4 linked regions of the Drosophila melanogaster genome follow. The protein of the gene in region 2 interacts with the protein of the main gene of each other region in a pairwise test. Each region holds a gene or a part of one and is shown on either strand. Other genes may lie near its edges.

What was found.
Region 1: the proteins of CG13627 (region 2) and CG12237 interact in a two-hybrid assay, tested with the Drosophila melanogaster proteins (one large-scale study listed by BioGRID).
Region 3: the proteins of CG13627 (region 2) and CG13114 interact in a two-hybrid assay, tested with the Drosophila melanogaster proteins (one large-scale study listed by BioGRID).
Region 4: the proteins of CG13627 (region 2) and Cp15 interact in a two-hybrid assay, tested with the Drosophila melanogaster proteins (one large-scale study listed by BioGRID).

What each region holds. Positions count from the first base shown.
Region 1 is NC_004354.4:19,640,519-19,644,891, forward strand, and holds CG12237 (uncharacterized protein), read right to left. Parts: upstream 2,352-4,373; 5' UTR 2,180-2,351; coding exon 1,259-2,179; 3' UTR 673-1,258; downstream 1-672. Other genes in the region: Sec61gamma (Sec61 gamma subunit), read left to right, coding at 3,369-3,575; Arp10 (Actin-related protein 10), read right to left, coding at 4,152-4,373.
Region 2 is NT_033777.3:24,711,110-24,718,042, reverse strand, and holds CG13627 (uncharacterized protein), read right to left. Parts: upstream 5,264-6,933; 5' UTR 5,137-5,263; coding exon of another isoform or gene 5,068-5,136; 5' UTR 4,952-5,067; coding exon 4,946-4,951; intron 3,260-4,945; exon of another isoform or gene 3,066-3,259; coding exon of another isoform or gene 3,060-3,065; intron 2,994-3,059; coding exon 2,436-2,993; intron 2,326-2,435; coding exon 958-2,325; intron 897-957; coding exon 735-896; 3' UTR 613-734; downstream 1-612. Other genes in the region: CG13630 (uncharacterized protein), read left to right, coding at 1-13; Polr2L (RNA polymerase II, I and III subunit L), read right to left, coding at 139-247, 331-425; CG46316 (uncharacterized protein), read right to left, coding at 5,068-5,136.
Region 3 is NT_033779.5:9,543,851-9,547,960, reverse strand, and holds CG13114 (uncharacterized protein), read right to left. Parts: upstream 2,151-4,110; 5' UTR 2,029-2,150; intron 1,945-2,028; coding exon 664-1,944; 3' UTR 537-663; downstream 1-536. Other genes in the region: CG13113 (uncharacterized protein), read right to left, coding at 3,169-3,786.
Region 4 is NT_037436.4:8,726,587-8,729,570, reverse strand, and holds Cp15 (chorion protein 15), read right to left. Parts: upstream 1,091-2,984; 5' UTR 1,045-1,090; coding exon 1,033-1,044; intron 962-1,032; coding exon 626-961; 3' UTR 505-625; downstream 1-504. Other genes in the region: Cp18 (chorion protein 18), read right to left, coding at 2,044-2,547, 2,722-2,736. UniProt on the Drosophila melanogaster protein: Chorion membrane (egg shell) protein; plays a role in protecting the egg from the environment.

The sequences.
Region 1 (4,373 bases), on a different chromosome or scaffold from region 2:
CCAACCATCGATGATGAATAATCCACGCTGTTAATTACATAGCTGCTCGACCGAATATACATAAACATGCATACATACATACATACATATTTCATAAGCGTGCACGAGATTGCCTGTGTCGACTTAAGCGGAGCTGTAATATACCTACATAAATTACAAATAAATTAATGTTAATACTAAGATTGTCACTGACACCCAATAAAGAACCTCGAGCAGACGATACGATATAAATATTTATGCGTGTTTGTTTTTTTTTTTAATATCAATATTCTAACAGAGGATATTAACAATCCCGCAAAAGTTCATAATCATCTTTTCGCTGCATACTTTTGGGCTACTGTCCGGATTTGCTATATTTGCTATTTGCTGTGTATATTTGATAGTAGGGGGTGTCCCCGAACGAATCTTATAGGTTCTATATACATATGTAAGTTCTGACCATCACAATCAATCACTCTACTGAATGCAAATGGCTCATCCTGCGAGGTGTGTAAACAAAAGTCGAGAAAATTGCGCAGAAAGCGCATCTGCTGCTATCCCCGTCCCGCTCCTGGCCACGCAGCTGGCATGCTGCTGTCCCGCTCTAGGTCGCGTGGTGTGCACCAAGAGCACCCAGTGCTCCAGACCAGCCCAGCCCAACCCAGGAAAAAAAGGTAGTGCAGCGGGTGCAGTAACGGCAAAACACACATTCAAATGCATATAATATGGACACTCATATACAGCGCTTGCAATAGCTTCAATTACAACAGGTTTAAATATAGACACATGGAATAAACACTAACAGCCGCAGCACAAATTGACGCCTCAAGTCCTGGGCACACCTCCGAAGTTGTACTGTTTGGATTTCCACAAATTGTTTTGCAGGTAAAGTCCCGGCACACAGATATAAATACAGATCCACCCAGTACACTTGGCACGGCCAGTGCAGCGAAGTGGCGAGCGGATCAAATAAAGAACCAGACCAGACCACATGATGCAACCAACAACTGGATGGGGATGATGGGATCGGGATGGATGGTTTCGCATTTGAGACCCTCACGAGTACTCCTGGCATCGTAGAACCGCATGATTGCTATCGCACAGCATAGTCCAAAACAAGGAACAAGGAACGGTATCTTTCGATACCATGAAATACCATATCGTGCTCCAAAGTAGCAGTTTCCTATGCGATGGCCATCCTGCAGCTGGGCAATCGTCACTCTCGAGGATTACCCGTTCTACTTACTCGTGCCGGTGCCAAATGCGAGCACATGCCACCTTAGTTGGGCGACTTGGTCGGCCCGGCAACTGCCGATGCCCGACGTGCCACCTCCGGTACTTTGCCATCCGTATCCGCATCCTGATCCGGCTGATCCCCATCGCCCTGCACCTGGGGGGTCTTCAGCTGCGGCAGGGCCAGCATCTGGTCCATCAGATCGAAGCCGCTCTTCCAGATCAGCAGCTGGGCGCGCAGCTTCAATTTGCTGCGATTGCGGAGCAGGTGCTTCTCCATTGCGAACCCCTTGCGGGCGCAGGCAAAGTCGCACGCCCGCTGCCGCAGCACGGGGCAGATGTCGTTGTTGCCGTCGCCCACATAGAAGACGTGGTCATAGCGTATGCTGCGCCGCAGGTCCTGCTCGATGACAAAGTGCTCCAGCACGCGGCCCTTGCACAAATTGCTGGCGCTCAGCTTGCAATCCGACTGCTGGTGGTGGGCGCGGACCATAAGCCGTCCGGAGGCATCGAATTCCGCCGGATTGGTAAAGATGGCCACAAAGCAATCGGCCAAGTTATGTGCCCGCAGCCACTCGTCGATAAAGACGCTGTTCGAGTCACTGATGATGATCAGGTCGTAGTGCAGCCGCTTGGCCAGATGCTTGATCAGGCGCACGAATCCGGGCACCTCGGGTATGCCACGAATGGTGTCCCTAATGCGCGCCTCCGACACCTGTTGCTCGTGCAGCAAGCGAAACACCTCGGCCATGTACTCCGTCCAGCAGTCGTTTTCAACCAGCTCGTTGACCTTGGCGCTCGTCACCTCCGTGGGCAGCAGGTCGCGCACCACGGTGTCCGTGTTCTGGGAAACGATCGTGTGGTCGAAGTCGAAGGCCGCCAGTCGACGGCGCTGCTGTTTCCTTAGCCTGCAGCTGGCCACGGCCGCGGCCACTGCGGCGGGTGACTGCTCCTGGTTCGAGGACATCGTGTGCTCCGCTCCTGCTCCGGCTATGGATGCGCTCAGAGCGCGCGGAGAGCAAGTTCGAGTGCGAGTTTTGTGCGAGGACCAGTGTGTCCGCGCCGCCCACGATGCTAAATGCCAGGTCGCCTGGGCGCAAACACCGTTGTGCGTGCGCTTGGATGTGCAAAATACCGATTATATACCACAAAAATGCAATAGTGCAAGTCCTGTCTTGTTCTTATTATTATCTCTATTTCTAATTGGAATTAGGTTTTGCTTCAATATAAATATAATGTTGTTAATATAATATGTTGTTGTAAATATTATATTTGATTAAAAATGAAATAATATAACGCGCTCTATTAGTTCGATTAAATCTGTAGTTCTTTGTTTGAAATTCATCCAGTTACCTTACTTATGTAAAGATTGGTGTGAAGCATTAAAGCATTGTGAACTCACATTTTTTCAACTAGTTAACGATATAATATGGTTACTCCCCAACGAGTAAAAATAGTTAAGGAATGTGAACAAAAATTCAACTTTGAATATAATAAAATTAGGCTACAAATTAGCTAACGTTTGGAGCATTCCAAAGCTTTCATAGCATCCAGCTGCAAAATAGCCAAGCTGGCATCCCTGCCACCACTGACAGCTCGGCCCCAGTGTAGCGTAGCCCTGGCGTTTGACAGCCGACGTGGAGCTGTCATCGGCAAACACATACGAATAACGGGGTCTACGCGGCAGTCGACGATTGTATCTCATTTAGTTGGAAATTCTGAATTAAAGCGGAGGTATGTGTGTTTGCTTATTTGATTTTCAGCTGCGCTCGCACAGTTTTTCAATTAAAATGGTTTGAATGGCTATCAAGCACACGCAGCAGAGGTTTATTTGCCCTGCGCGCCGTTCTTTGCCTGTGGACCTTGCACTTTTTCCCGTTTCTTTACCAAATCCTGCTGATTTGGTGAATCGAAGCGATTGGGTTGGTGGTGGCACAGACATTAATGGTGATCTTCAGCCACTGACCCCTGTTGGAGCTGTGATAGCTGGATAACTTGTTGGGCGAATTTGTGGAAATGGGCAACGCGATTTCACCTGTGCCGTCGCCAACCATTTGCCACGTCGCAGCTGACGTTGCTGTGAAAGCGCTGAATACCTTTTACTGATTAGCACTTTCCTTCGCTTTCGTTGCAGAATCCCAAATATCTGACAAGACATGGACAAGGTTGTTAAGTTTGCCGAGCCTGGACGCGCCTTCGCCAAGGACTCGATCCGCCTGGTCAAGCGGTGCACCAAGCCCGACCGCAAGGAGTTCCAGAAGATCGCCATCGCCACTGCTGTGGGCTTCTGCATCATGGGCTTCATCGGCTTCTTCGTTAAGTTGATACACATCCCCATCAACAATATCATCGTGGGCTCTTAAATGCGCTGAGTGGCAAGGAAACCACCAATCATCCAATCATCCATTATAGCATACATCAGATCAACGTCTTTTTTTTTCGTTTAGTTAACATGCATTATATGTATGGACCATGTGCATTCAGCGAATGCCTTTCTAACAAAATTCTACACAAACGTACGAAAACGTATTGTAATGTTTCGATATTCCATTCATGAACAAGTTAGTTAATAAGATTCAAATGTAAAAAGGAATCACCCGTCTTCATAGCATTTGTTTGGGGTGCGCATCCCCGCTAATAAATGTTAAATTGATTTTCCGTGTACAAATGAGATTCTTTTAACTCTGAGAGACGCAACGTTACATTGCTTGAAGAAAGTAAAGTTGTAAATGAAGCTGATAAACCGACATCATCATTAGAACCAAGAATAAATGTCCAGAAAACGTACAAGCAATATTTTGTTTAAAGCTCGTTAGCCTATATTTCGTAAATATTTAATACCTATATATTACAGAATAATAATCAAGAGTATGTTAGTACGCGTAACCAGTAAAGCGCCGAAGCGTACATATTTCCATCTTCCGGGACTGCCCTCGAGTCTACGAGCCTGTCGGCCTATTATCGCACAGGTTGCTCCAGTCGGGAACGTGCTCGCTCTTTAGATACGTCTCCTTGACCAGCGATCGTGTCTGGATGAGATCCGTCGCGCCGCACAAGGCGCCGCCCAGCCAGGCAGTAAAGTTTTGCTTGCCGACAGCATTGAAAAACTTGAACTGCAGCTCGCCATGGAAGCGTTCGGCGTAGAACGGATCCTCGGTGAG
Region 2 (6,933 bases):
GGACAAGATGTGAGGGTCGACCAACTTGGGCTAATACATAACTTCTAGGGCTATCGATCAAGCTTTAATTTGTAATTTTACAATAAAATCTAGAGTTTTTATTCCCAAGTCCAGTTTGGATGGTTTCCATTGTGCCGTTCACTTCTCCAGAGGAGCATAGTTGAGCAGTTTTTCGATAAGATCCACGTGGCCCAGGAGCATGCGACGGCAGCAGTACCTCTTTAGACCCAAAGCATCCAGGGCATCTCTGGGATTGGATTGTAAGATATAATATATATATATTATATGATGAAATGCGGCGTGGAAAGGAGACTTTCCCGCGTGACTTACCCTTCGGTGTATTCCGCTTGCAGGAGACCCAAATACGACTCCCACTTGTTGCCAATGACCTTGCCGCAGGTGAAACAACGGATTGGAATAATCATTTTGTAGATCAGGCTCTAATTCTTAGTTAAATCACGAAAAATGTGCAATCACAACAATGTTTTTGGTAAAATGTGTTTTTACTTGTCATGAGTGTGACCAGAGTGCAGTTGTATTTTTATCTCACCAGCATTACAATGTATCGATAACACAAAAACTTATATCCATTCAAAAAGAACGCTAACGAATATTTGAATAAATTAATGGTTATTTTTATTAACTACCGACTGCTCGCTACATGAATGCGTTTTTTACAAATGAGTGTGTAAATAAATATTTTTGAACAGCGTCGAAGACTAAAAGTGCGTTAACTAATTACTGCTGGCCGTGAGATGCTCGCCGGCCACTTCGACGGAGGTGGATACCTCGAACAAATCTTTGGCTGACTCCTCGCTGTCGCCGTCGTTCCGACCCGCACTGGACACATCCTCCACCGTGCCCTTTTTCACATCATCCGATCTCTTTTGCAGTCGCTATACAAGGAAAGTCTCAAATGTTAGCATACGGAAGAATTTCTTGTCTAATTTTACCTACCGATTCGGCGGCCTCCTCGTCGGGCACAAAGATGCGAAGTGGCGTGTTGGCGCCAAGTTGCTGCTGCACCAATCGCTGGTGCTCCTCGAATGCACTTGCTGCTGGATCCTGAGCCACCTGCTGCTGCTGCTGCTGTTGCAGCTGCTGCGGCGGATGGTGCTGCACTGGTTGCTGCAACTGCTGTTGCTGCTGCTGCAATTGCAAGAGCTGCAACTGATGCTGCTGGTGTTGCTGCTGCAAGTGTTGCTCCTGTGCCTGTGCCTGCAGTTCCTCGAACTGCTGCTGTTGCTGCTGCTGGTACTGCGCCTGAGCCCTCAGCTCCTCCAGATGCAGCTGATGCTGCTGCTGTTGCTCCTGGGCCTGCGCCTTAAGCTCCTCCAGATGCAACTGCTGCTGCTTTTGCAGCTCAATGGCGGCTTGCTCTGTTTCCAGTTGCTGTCGACGTGCCTCCTCCTCTGCGTAGGCCTGCAGCAATTGGGAAGAGTCGTGGGCATGGCCATAGAAGTTGGACACCACGAAGCCACCTTCCGGAACGGAGGCAGTGACCGCTGACGCCACATTGGGCAGGTGGAAGGAGGCCGTCTCGTAGGCACCCTCATTGGGATCACCCAGTGCCGGAGCGGCAATAAGAGCAGCATATTGTGGCGCCGAATCAAGTACAGGATGGATGTTGTGATGTGGATCCTTGGCTGCCTGCAGTATCTGTCCATTGCTGGCTACCTCCTGGGTGAGATCGGCGTTCACGTAACCCGTTTCCACCACCGGTTCCGAGCTGGGCTTGAAAAGCTGCTGCTTGTGGGCCGAGTACAGTTGGTTGGACTGCGTCACCAGGTAGGTGGGATTATAGATGGGAATGTGGGCAGCCGGAATGGCGGCGATAAAGGACTGGGAGTGAACCGCCGGCTGGGCATACTGAATGGGATAGATCTCTGGCGCCGTTTGGGCTGCCGTCTGGGCTCCCACAATCTGAACCAATGGCTGGGCTGGCAGATGGTTACTCTGGACGTCGGCGGGCAGCGGTTTGTTGTTGCTGGGCGTATTGAAAGATTCGGTGGCGGGGCGAATCTTGGTGGTGGGCAGCGAGGGATCCGGATCTGGGGCAAAGAGTTTCTGCGAACCCGAAATGGGATCACGAATGGTTTGGTCATTGGTCTCGTCCTCATGCACACTGTACTTCGGTGGCAAATATGTCTGGGGACGGGCTGAGGAGGATGGTGTTTGGATCTGGGTCTGGGAAGGAGGCTTGTACAGGTAGGAGGTGTCAAGATGACCCTCCTCCACGTCCAGGTGATTGTCGGCCAGGTTCGGTGCGGGTACCGTGTAAATGGGTGCAAAGTGCTCGGTGTTGAAGTTGTTGTGCGTGTCCAGCTGTGGGGGATCAGCATGAATGGAGTTATGTTATATGTTCAGGGGAGTGGGGGGCATGTGCAGTATAAGGATATCTTAAGAGCAGGACATTTTCAATGGACTCCACTTACCGGCAGATTCTGCAGCTCGCTGTAGCTCACAGCAGTGGGCTTCTCGTACTTAAAGGGCTTGTCGTATCCGAATGTGGGTTTCGTCTTGGGCTTCACATTGTTCAGTTTGATCTTCAGTGGTTTCCTTAGAGATCCAGCTGGTTTCAGGTACACGGGCGACGGACCACTCAGCTTCATGGGACGAGGTGGTCCGCGTAGGTGCTGATGCTGGTACTGATGTGGCACATGGATCAGCGGATGCGAGTGTAGATGGGCATGTGAATGGGCGTGCGACAGGACATGTGCAGGATGCACGGAATGCGGATGGGCCAGATGGGCGGCATGGCTGTGCGCTCCATGTCCAGGACGACCCTTCAGTACCAAGGGCACCGGTTGATCGCTGCGTATTTGGACGACCAGCGTGCGCTGCTTTCCAGGCGCTCCAGCGGATCCAGGACCTCCAGCTCCAATGGCGGGACGACTCAGCTGCTTGGAGCTCTTCGGTGGCCAGTTGGTGAAAACCAGTGGACGCTGCTCGCAGTTAGCCAGCGCCAGGAGCAGTGCGAACAGCAGAAATGGCTGGCGAGGATGGGATGGGACAATGTCAAAGACCATTAAATCAAAAACATAATTACTCGTACATACAGACATCGAACAAAACGCCGAAAGAAATAAAAACTTTCTAAGCCCGGCAAAGGCGAAGAAGAAAAAAAGGGGCGGTGAGGAAGGAGGAGGGTCTTGTAATCGCTGGACAGCAACAAAACTGTAATGGCCTTAATTTGAACAAATTGGCGGTTTTCTAAAATTTTATCACGTCGCCTGCCATTGGCTACTTAACCAAAGCTGCTTAAGCAAACGAGCCAAACAAAGTAGCTTCGCATTTATAAATATACATACATATATATTTATACGGGTATGCCATAATACTTTGCCCATTTTCCCCGCTTCGATGGCTGATTAAACTTTCTGTCCACAATGCCATAGAATGAAAGTGAAAAGTCCGTCATCGAAATGTCTTCGTTCTATAAATTTTACTGTCGCATTGTTTACAATTCGGCGGGTATAATGCATCACTGACTCATTTGGTGACACTTTCATTGAAATTGGCTTTAGAAACTTACAGCCTACCTTATACGTTATATACGAGTATTTTGGATTTTTCATGCATTTTATATAGGTTAAAGGGAATGGCTCTATTAGTTTAGGTATAACACAATAACGAAGAAAGAAATACATATCATGCATCTAATAAATTTATTAAGGCGTAAAATGTCAGATTTTTATAGAAACATATATAGGAACCATTAAAATGAAATGCATGTTATTCCTTGAAAAGAATGAGTATGTGCCTCTTCAGCGCGGCTGGCATGGGTCTCTTTAGTCTCGTCGATGGAAGGGGAAGTGGGTAATTTGAGGCGGCCACTGGACATTGAAATTTCACCTGGGCAGCGCACCAGCAGAGCCACTGGAGCCACCGGAGCGGCGGCAATGACAATGGCAATACGGTGTGCCGTTAGCCAGACGTCAATCAAGAGGTGAAATGCCTAGGCGAGTCCAATACGTATAGTTATTGATTACGTGCTGCGTTTGCTTAAACGGATTGCCGATTGCAACTGAAACTGACTGCAGCGGCGGTGATCGGGGTAATTGCCACAAAATTGGTGGCTTATTGTTTATGGAGTGGTTAGTTAGTAAGTTAGTTAGTTTGTCGCCATTGCAACATGCATCATAATCATATGCAAATACCAGGGGCGGCCTGCTGGTGAATGAACTGCTGCCAGGAGACGGGTGCCCGATGCCAAACACTGAAAAGTCTGGCAGGGAATGGCCCACGGCGACGGCGGATAACCCGTTCAACGAAAGTCCAAATGGAATTCGCATAATTTCGGGTTTCCTTTTGGGCTTGGCCGGCAGTGCCATTGAACCTGACAAAGGATTTTTGCCAACGGCCTAGGCGGAACTATTGATCAGCGGGCTGTCGCCACAGCGTCGACCATAAACAACGGTGTGGTTAACCCAAATTGCAACTCGAAATGCAACTTTTATTTTAGCGGCAAGCATTTTATTTTCAAGCCCGCTGCACATTGAGGCAGCCGCCTGTGCCTCACAGTTTGCAGCTTGCAACTCACAGTGTGCGATGCAATTGGTGCACGTAAAGCCATCCATTGTCTGGATCTTGGCGAAACTTGGCGCATCAAGTGCTCCCATTGCAAATGAAAGTGCTCGCTTTGCCGGCCACCTTGCAATTTGACAAATATTCCGACGACTTCAATTCAATTGAAGAAGCTACAGCTTCATTGTGCAGCGATTGCAATTTGCTGGCTTTGCTGGCGAAGGTGAAGGTGATACCAAATTTGAATGCCAATCTCAGTCTGAAGTCGTTGATCGCCGATGAGAAGAAGAAATGCCATTGAATTTGCAATAGAAATTAAAGCCAATCCATTATTGTGTTATGCTGTGCGCAGTGAGAGACTTTTTAATAACCGCTAATTGTGGCCAACAAACTCACAATACCCGCGTGAATCACTTACCCTCATCTTCTTTCGGATTTGCTAGAGATTTTCGTTGTTTTATTGTCGGGTAGCTGGCTGATGGATCTGGTAGACTGTAGAAAGCTCTGGGGCAAATGTCGAGCAACTTTTGGCTTCTTCTGCTACTCCAGCAGCAAATAGATGAAGATCAAAATGGCAATTAGGTATATAATCACGTCAATTAACTTCATGTCAACGAGCGCCGCGGCGCTTTCTTCGATCTTAAACTGCACGCACAAAAGATTTGTAAAGAGTTTCGAATATAAATTCGAGGAGCAGCGACGTCCGCACCTGTTCAAGTCGCGAAGACAACTGACTGTTAGTTGGTCGCTGGTGGCGGACAAAAACCATGTGCCCATCCGCTGGAGTTCCACTGGAATGGAGTGACGACTCGCATTGGAAGTGCGCACTGAAGAAAGTGGTCGGATTTTCTTGACTCTGGCGCCGAATGAAATACAAAAAAAAAAAAATAAAATAAATAAAAAGCCAACAAATAAAACTAGTTTGCAGTGGATAAAGCGCAGCACGCGACCAGCAGCTACATGAATTGCCAGCAAGTGGCCGATTAATCGCAACGAAAGTGTTTTCCCATTGACTGTTCTTGGCCGGCGAAAGAAAGGAGCGAAAGAGACGGCGCCAAACAAAAGACTTAAGCAGCGAACTTGTTGTCGTCGCAAGTCAGCACTCGCTCTTTACCTTAAAAAGCAATGCGGACCAGGCGCACATGATCAAGAGATGGCCCCCCAATGCCGCCGTCTGTCACCTGTTGGCCCCACTTTTTAAGTCTTTTTTTTTGCTGGGGCAGCAAACAGGAGCAGAGCCACCGATTGAAATTACGAAATGCGGCAGGCACAGTGGGGAAAATAGCAAACATTTTAAAGCGGAACCAAACAATATTTTGGGAATAATAAGATATTATTATAACATTTTCATACTTTTTAAGATGTTGCCAATATTTTTCCAATAATTTTAAACTCATATTTAACTGCATTAAATATCTGGCTAAACTCGTCGAAGACTCAAAGGAATGCGTGAAAGCTTTTTCGAATTAGTTTTTGTACGGAAGTCAGCTCAATTGGGGGCTAAGGGTTTCGTAGAAAAGCTTGAGCTGTATTTTAAGCGATATTTGATGGTAATGTAACTTAATTCAGATGTGTCCCAAAAACGAATGGATGCAATTTCCATAACCAATGGATTCCGTATGATAGGCTTCACATTTCGGATGTACATATACCAAAGGCCCTTCGATGATAATGAGACATGCTTATGAAACGCTCCCCAATAATTGGTCGCATTTTATGCAAGGCGCGACATCCAATTTCTAAACGCAATTGGTCATTGGAATTTTATAACGCCCGGCCAGCCATTTTTTGGGTCAGTATTTGGCGGCCCAAAGTTTTGGGACATAAATCAAAATTTCACTTTCATAAAGCTCTCAGTTTGGTGGTAATTTCTTTGCTATTTTTTTCCGTATTTATATTTTATTTTGAAATATTATTTTTAACAAGGTTTTTTAAACATTAACAACATAATATTATTATTATACCTTTTATTTCATACATTTATCATTTCTTTTGGTTTTTTCTTTCGGTTGCGTTTTAGACAAATGTTTAAAATATGCATTTTTAGCTCTTCAATTTGTTATTTAAAATGTTGTTTATTTTTTGTTGTTTTTGCCTTTGCAGGACCATTTTAAACTAATTTGTCATTTTATGCTTTCTGCTCTGATTTCGGTTTAGTTTACTTTAATTTCAATGTAAATTAATGAATTTTTTTTATCGCTTTTTACGTTTTATTTATGTCTACTTTTACGTTTTCCGTTGTGTAAATATACCTCATATAAATAGCGAGTAAAAACTAAAAAAATGTAACTACATTAATATGATTTGCATTGTTTTTTTTTTTTTTGGGTTTGCATTATTTATACAATTTATTTAGCACACATTGCCGGATGTGTATGTGTGCGTGTGCGGGTATCATGTGAAAGT
Region 3 (4,110 bases), on a different chromosome or scaffold from region 2:
AAGCGCTGTTTGAAAACATTCATATTGCATAAATCATATATATTTGCATACGAAAATTTATGAATCTAATTTGTGTATATATCTATGCTTATCAAAATTGGCAAGCATAAACCAGAATTAAGCTGGCGAAATGCGTAAGATGAAATCTTATTCAATGTTATCGACAACAAGAAAGTATATAAAAAAATGAATGCAAATGAAGAAAACTTTTTAAATACAAATAATAAAATGCGTCAAGCCGAATTATAAATGATCGTTTTTGAAAAGTAGCAAACTCGCTACTTTATACTATGTATAAAGTATATATATTCTTGATCAATAGGATCAATAGCCAAGTCGATCTGGTTATGTCCGTATGAAAGTCGAGATTTCAGGAACTATAAAAGCTTTTTTTCATAATTTTATTAGTCTTGTAAATTTTTATCTCTTGTTTCATTAATTCTTTTAACAAAATCGAAGGGGGGAAATTGCTACTTTATAGCCCAAAAGTATGCAATAGTTATTTCAACTATAATACTAAGACCATAATATTCTTTAGTTTTTTGTTAATAATTTATTTAATCATCATGTAGTCAACAGGAAACGGGGAGTACATCAATAAATAATGGGATACCTAGAAAACATTCTAGCCTAGACTAATCCTAAAAAACAACGTATGGAACTTTAGTAGTCCGCATATCCCCTTCCTTGGTTGCCATATCCGAAGTCCTTCAGATAATTATCGATGGCCAGATCGAACGTGGACGATGGCTTATCGGGTCCAGAATCGGGACCACCATATGGCTTGATCTCCGGTTGGGGTACGGGATAGGCTTCCGTACGCGGTTGATAGGACTCAGTTTGGCTGGGATATGACTCTGTGATGCTGGGGTAGGAGTCCTTTTGGCTGGGATAGGATTCCGTGGGACTTGGATATATGGGTGTGTGGCTGGGATACGACTCCGTTTGGCTCTGCACAACGGGATAGACTTCCGTCTGGGGCGCCGAGTATTCCTTGGGTGCTTCAACAATAGGATACGATGTGGATCTCTCATAAATGGGAGACGGTGTGGCCACCACAATCTTCTCCTCGTAGGGAGTCTTTATCTTGGCCACCGACACGCCCGATGATGATGATGAAACCGCTGAGGCGGCATACTTAATGCTGGAGGAGATTTTGGGTGCCGGCGCCACTTTGCTCACGAGTGGAACCACTTGCTTTTTGTAGCTTGGAACCGGGGAATAGAAAACGGAGGGAGCTGGCTGAAGCTGAATACGTGGCGGAGTTGGCACACTAGCTGGGTAGCCCTTCTTGGTGCCATACGCAGTGCTAAGCAATTGGGCCAACTCCTCCAGCGTGTAATTAGGAGCAGCTATGCTGGCCACCGCTGGTGAGGAAGCCACCGAGGGAATGGAAGCCGGTGAAGCAGCTGATGCCGCCTGTTCGTAGACCAATGGATATGGCTTATAGGCCTTGGGTCCGCCCACTGGTCCTACCAATCCCCCATAGGATTCGCCTCCGTACTTGGGAAAGTATTTGCGCTGATGGACATGCGTGTACTCCACCTGGCCACCTGGGGCATACTCCCCAATGGATGAGATCTGGGTGAGCGGCTGCTTGGGCTCAGAAGAGATCACCTTGCGGCAGAACTCCTTGCAGCCCAGCTTGCATTCGCAGTAGCACTTCTTGTACTCCGATGGCTGTGTAGTGTAATCCGTGGGCGTGGGTGGGGCACTGGTTGTTGTTGGGTAAATAGGTCCCGGGCTGGTGGCGCTGGTTGTGGGCGGGCTCAACGTAGAGCCTCCGGTTGTTGTTGGCGCTACCGTTGTGGGCACCTCGCTGCACGGCACCTGTTCCCACACCTCCTGTTCACATTCCGCACAATATTCCGGGAAATGGGCTTGGGTCAATAGTGCCGATGCCATCAGCATGGTCATAAATAATAAATTGCAGCGTTCGAACATCTGAAGGGGGGAGAATATTGAATTTAGAATGGGTCAGAGAATTGCGCCGGAATCGTTCCCAATCGATTGACCCCGTTACCCTACCTTTCAACTGAATTTCTCCCTCGCTCGCTCGATCACTTTCCCCACAATTGCTGGAATTTCTGTCCCGGATCGCCGATGGATGGCACTTGTTGGCTGTTGGTCGGTCGCGTGCGAAACTCTTTCATGCATTTTGCTGAATAGCTCTTAAATACGCTGCGCTGGCCGAGAGCTTCTTCTTCTCGTTCTTACAACGCCGAGCAAATGGGTCGCGGAAGCGTTGACCGCATCACGTTCCAAACGCCCCAAACGGCTCGGAATGGGGCGTGGTTGTCCGGAATGGGTCCGGAATGGGTAAAGACAATCGCCAGATGCCGCCGCTTCCGTAATACACATTCAAGCATTTCTGCCCGCACTCGTCGATAGCTTGGAGTGCTCGCGACAAGAGTTGTTTAATCAAAAACATATAGCAAACATATTTATGTATGACCTTTGGCATGACAATAACCTTTAAGAGAAAGACGAACTTCATAATGCATTTTTTTTAGGCAGTTTCTCATTAGCCAGAATAAACAATCCTCCTGAAATCTTTAATTTTATAAATAGCCAAAACCATTCCGACCGCAATGATCATTTTTTCGGTTCTGCACAAAATTTCCAGCTGCTTGGGGGATTTATAATTTCTGGGTCTCGGCCTAGATCTGATATTAACGTCTGGGGTCGATTGACTTATCAATTTTTGGTTGTAATTCTTTGTGGAACTCAAGGTCTACACGTACACTATGGATAATGGTATTTTTGTAAGCGATATTGCTCAATACCTAAATTATCTTCCTACAAATTGAGTACAAAAGCTTTACTGATTTAAATAATAGTATCTTGACCATTTAACATTTTGTCTAGCTCATTATTTAAACAACATTTTGGGAAAACTCTGCTTAAAATTGGGGGCACTCTTAATCTTTTTTGTTTTAACAAAAATAAGCAACATCACTATTTTCATTATTGCGAGTAAAAGTCATAACAATTTTAGCCTTACAAAGAAAAATAGCAAAAAACTCCGATTTATTTAAAGTAGTCCTTTAAAAAAGTACTTTATTTTTTTTACTTTTATACTTTTAGTATTTATTCATTGTCCGAATCACCAGAGATCACTTAAAATCAAAGCCATTTGCACATTTGGATGAGGTGACTTATTTATGATTAATTTAGATTTGCTACACGACTTTGGAAGGGTAAGCCGGGGTAAACCTGAATATCAGGGAAGAAACTTTGATCATCCCGCACATCAGTTTCCATGGTTTCCTTGTGGTCACGTCTTTTTTCGATGGAGCTGCGCTTCCTTAGTTTCTCCCAGCGATTTTGTTTTAGTTGTGTCTTCGGTTTAACTGGCACTTGAATTTGAGATGGTTTTTTAGATTGACCCGGATCGGAAGTCTCGCGAACCGTTTCCGTGCGACTTGCCATTTCCACATCAATGGTGTCAGCTTTACTACGACCACTGGTAAGTCGCCTCAGCATCTCCTGATAATGCGGTTGATCCGCAGTTATGTATTCCGGTTCGTCTTCGGGATTGAGAATCTGGTAGTTGGGGGTGCCCAGTTCGAAGGTGGTGAATTCACCATGCTCCACTTTGTTCTTCAGATGCTGCGGCGTATACCCATACTGCTTAAGTGGAGCCATCCACTTGGCATCCGCATCCGCAACTGTATCCTTTGAGCTTCCCCCCAGGCAGAAGCCAAGGGTCAATAGCAATGTGACCAGTAGTTGTCGTGTCTCCGGGCAGCCGACCATTTTCGCACTGATGCTCCATGGATGCATTGGTCAGAGCGTTAGCCAAATCCAATAGAATCGCCATCGACGACGTCGACTGCGCCGGTAATTGGACGCCCCCAAAGTGGCAGCAGCTACGTGAGATTAGAGGCATCTATGGGCCATGTCGCGTCTGGCGGCGATAGCATTAGTTTATGCTTATCACAGTATCGAAGCCACCTGTATCGTGACGCATCATTTTATGAGACATCAATTCGCAAATATAATGATACGAATTCACTGAAGAAGCCAAACACACAAGCGAGTTGAACTAAGTCAAGCATTTCATTCACCACTTTTTTTTTTTGGTTTTAATAATCTTTCACTTTTTTG
Region 4 (2,984 bases), on a different chromosome or scaffold from region 2:
TCAATGGTTGCATTTGGGTGCGTGCGGGAACGCAAGCGGGTTAATGGGATAACGGGCCAACGACTGACCAATGGTTATTGGATATGGATTTTATAATATTATCTATACCTTCAAGTAAACAGAACAAACCAAATTTTAACGATAAAACATAACTTCAGAGTCTATGCCTTTATGCACATTGGCAAATATGTTATTGTAATATATATAGCCCTTTGTTTGATTATACAATTTAAGATGTTCGTCTAAGAATCTATTAGTGAAACTAAGGGTTTCATAGGTGACTAAATTCTTGAGTCACTGAAGCTTAACCTGTCGACTTTGTAGCTTAAAGTGCAATAGTACTTCTATATAGTATTGTACAATCTGCCGCAGTGAATATTCTAGCTGCCCCACTTTGAAACCCATCTTGTGTGTGGAATAATAATAATGACCCACCGCTAAATCTTAACCCGAATGCGCTGAAAAGTATGTCACAATGCAAAACACACAATACGTATTTCTTTTCGGTATTTTCCATTGCGTTCAAGCTGCTTTTATTCACTGATTCTCAGAGTTTCGCCATGACAGCCACTCGAGGATTTTAGCAAGGAGTCGATAGTTCAATTCACTGCCGATGAAGCGAGAATTAGTAAGCACGTTGGCCGTAGCCGTGTCCGATCTCGTAGCCGCGAGCGCCATCCAACTCGTAGGAGGGAATGGCGTACTGCTTGTAGGTTCCGGGATTCACGGCAGCGGCGGAAGCGGCGGCAGCGGCAGCGGCACTTCCTCCATTACCCTCCGATCGCAGGCTGCGGGGATAGCTGTTGTAGCCACGGGATGGTCCGTAGGCGGGCACCTCCTCGTAGACGACGCGCTGAACAGGACCGTAGCCACCACCGTAGCCACCACCATAACCTCCACGGTTGCCGTACGCTGGGCTGGCGTTGATGTAGGCGAAAAGGGCCAGGGTAACGCAGACAATCTGAAGGTGAAAAGGGGAAATCCGGAGGATCAGTTGGCTGCCACTCCTTCACGGGGACTACCACAACTTACCAGGTACTTCATGGTGAGTGCTTAGTTTTGTTGGTTTGGGGTAATCAATCAAACTATGATTTACCGACCAGAAACGCTCGCTTTTATACGCAAATTTTAGCCTGGACATTTACGTGACCTATATACACTAATTGTTCTGTTTCAGCCCAGAAATGGCATTTCATAATTGCCCGGCTGGAATATACTCACATTTGATTTATGTACTTGTTGTCAAGCCATTATAAAATCGCTTGGTTACGCGATGTGCTATTCTACCGGGTGTTGGGTAGTGATAGCACTACGAACACGCGACTCTTCCAAATGGGAACCACGAACGCGTTTATTTTCGAATACAGTCCAAAATTTGTTGAATTGAACTTTATATTATCCACATTCTCGGGGGTAATGGTTTCCAGGTCGGTTGTGTCCGGAACTTGGCTTGTCTAAGTGAGGATTCTTCTAGAACTGGTTCCAGCCGGTTTTTCTGATAAAACCTATATAGAATCATCCCTTTAAAGTGACCACTAGTCACATACAAAACTTAAAATTATAACTAAAACATTTTAAAGTATTTCAATCATTTTGAAATTTTACAAAAACATAATTTCAAGCAAAACTATATTCTATCTAATCTCATTTTATCTAATAGGTTCTTTACTTATGGTAACTTAAAAAAGTCAAGGCTTATTTGACGAACTATAGTTTTAAAGTGGCCCCACAAATGAATTTAGTTTTAGCTTTTCAGCTTCATTCGCCATGAGAATTATTCTTTAGCACTTTAAGCAGCATTTTCATTTAACTACGAAACCACGAAATTTTTGCTGGCTCAAAGTATCGCTTGGCATTGCAATGAACCGCAAGTCTATGCCAATTCAGCTAAGATATGCAGATCTCAATTCTCGGCCCGAAACTAAAAACCCAGCAAGAATACAGTACTCAAAATTTTAAGTCTTGATGTTTTGGCTTTTATTATTATGACCTAGTTCCTTATGGGCAGGTAAGTTTTTGGTTCACTGTTCAACGTTTTGCCACTTAGTAGCTGGGCCTCTTGTAGCCCTTCTTTCCGGCGGCCACGGAGCTGGCAGCAGCGGCTGCGGAGCCTCCCTTCACCTTCTCGCTGTGTCCGTACTCCTGGTTCACGTAGCTGGTGGGGGGATAGACGGGCTGGGCGTAGCGGGGAGCCTCCTTCCAGACCAGAGGAGCTCCAGCGCTGGGAGCGGCCAGGGCGAGCTTGGCGAGGGCAATGGCCTGGGCATCAACTGGTGGGGCACCGCCGTAGCCGGAACCGGAGTACTGAGATCCCACATTGGCACCGCTGTAGGCAGAGGACACGGGCACAGGCACCGACTCGTAGGCACCGCCATATCCTCCATGGTTTCCGCCGTATCCACCACCGTATGAGGGAACGATCGCCTTAACGGTCAGGGCAGGCTGCACCTGGTAGGCATAGCCACCGACTGGGGCACCACCGTATCCACCACGGGAACGTCCGTAGGAGTTGGCCGAAACGGCAGAGATGGCGCAGAGGCAGATGCACTAAGGGATTCAAGAAAAAATTCAATTAATTTGGGTTTAGACTGAAGTGTATTAGAAAAGAAAGATCCAATCATATTATCCAATTATTATAATATGTAGTTATATTTTATTGAAAGGATCATACTGGACTCAGTTGAGGTGTCAATAGAAACAATATTGGAACTTAAGGCTTACCATGAACTTCATCATTCTGAGGCTGAGTTGGTTAGTTGATCGATGCGAAGGTAACTAATGTCTTATTCTGGCGCAATGTTTTGTTTTTATACCAGATCCAGGCAGAGGCCCAACTCTTACGTGACGAATATGATGCAAGTTTCGGCTCTCCGGGTTCCCGCAGACGCAGTTCCAGGCCTCGCCTCTTTGTCCAGCAATCTTGAGACGCCGCCGGAGACGTGCAGCCAGGCCGAATCCGCACTGGCCAAAATGCTGGCTCTCAA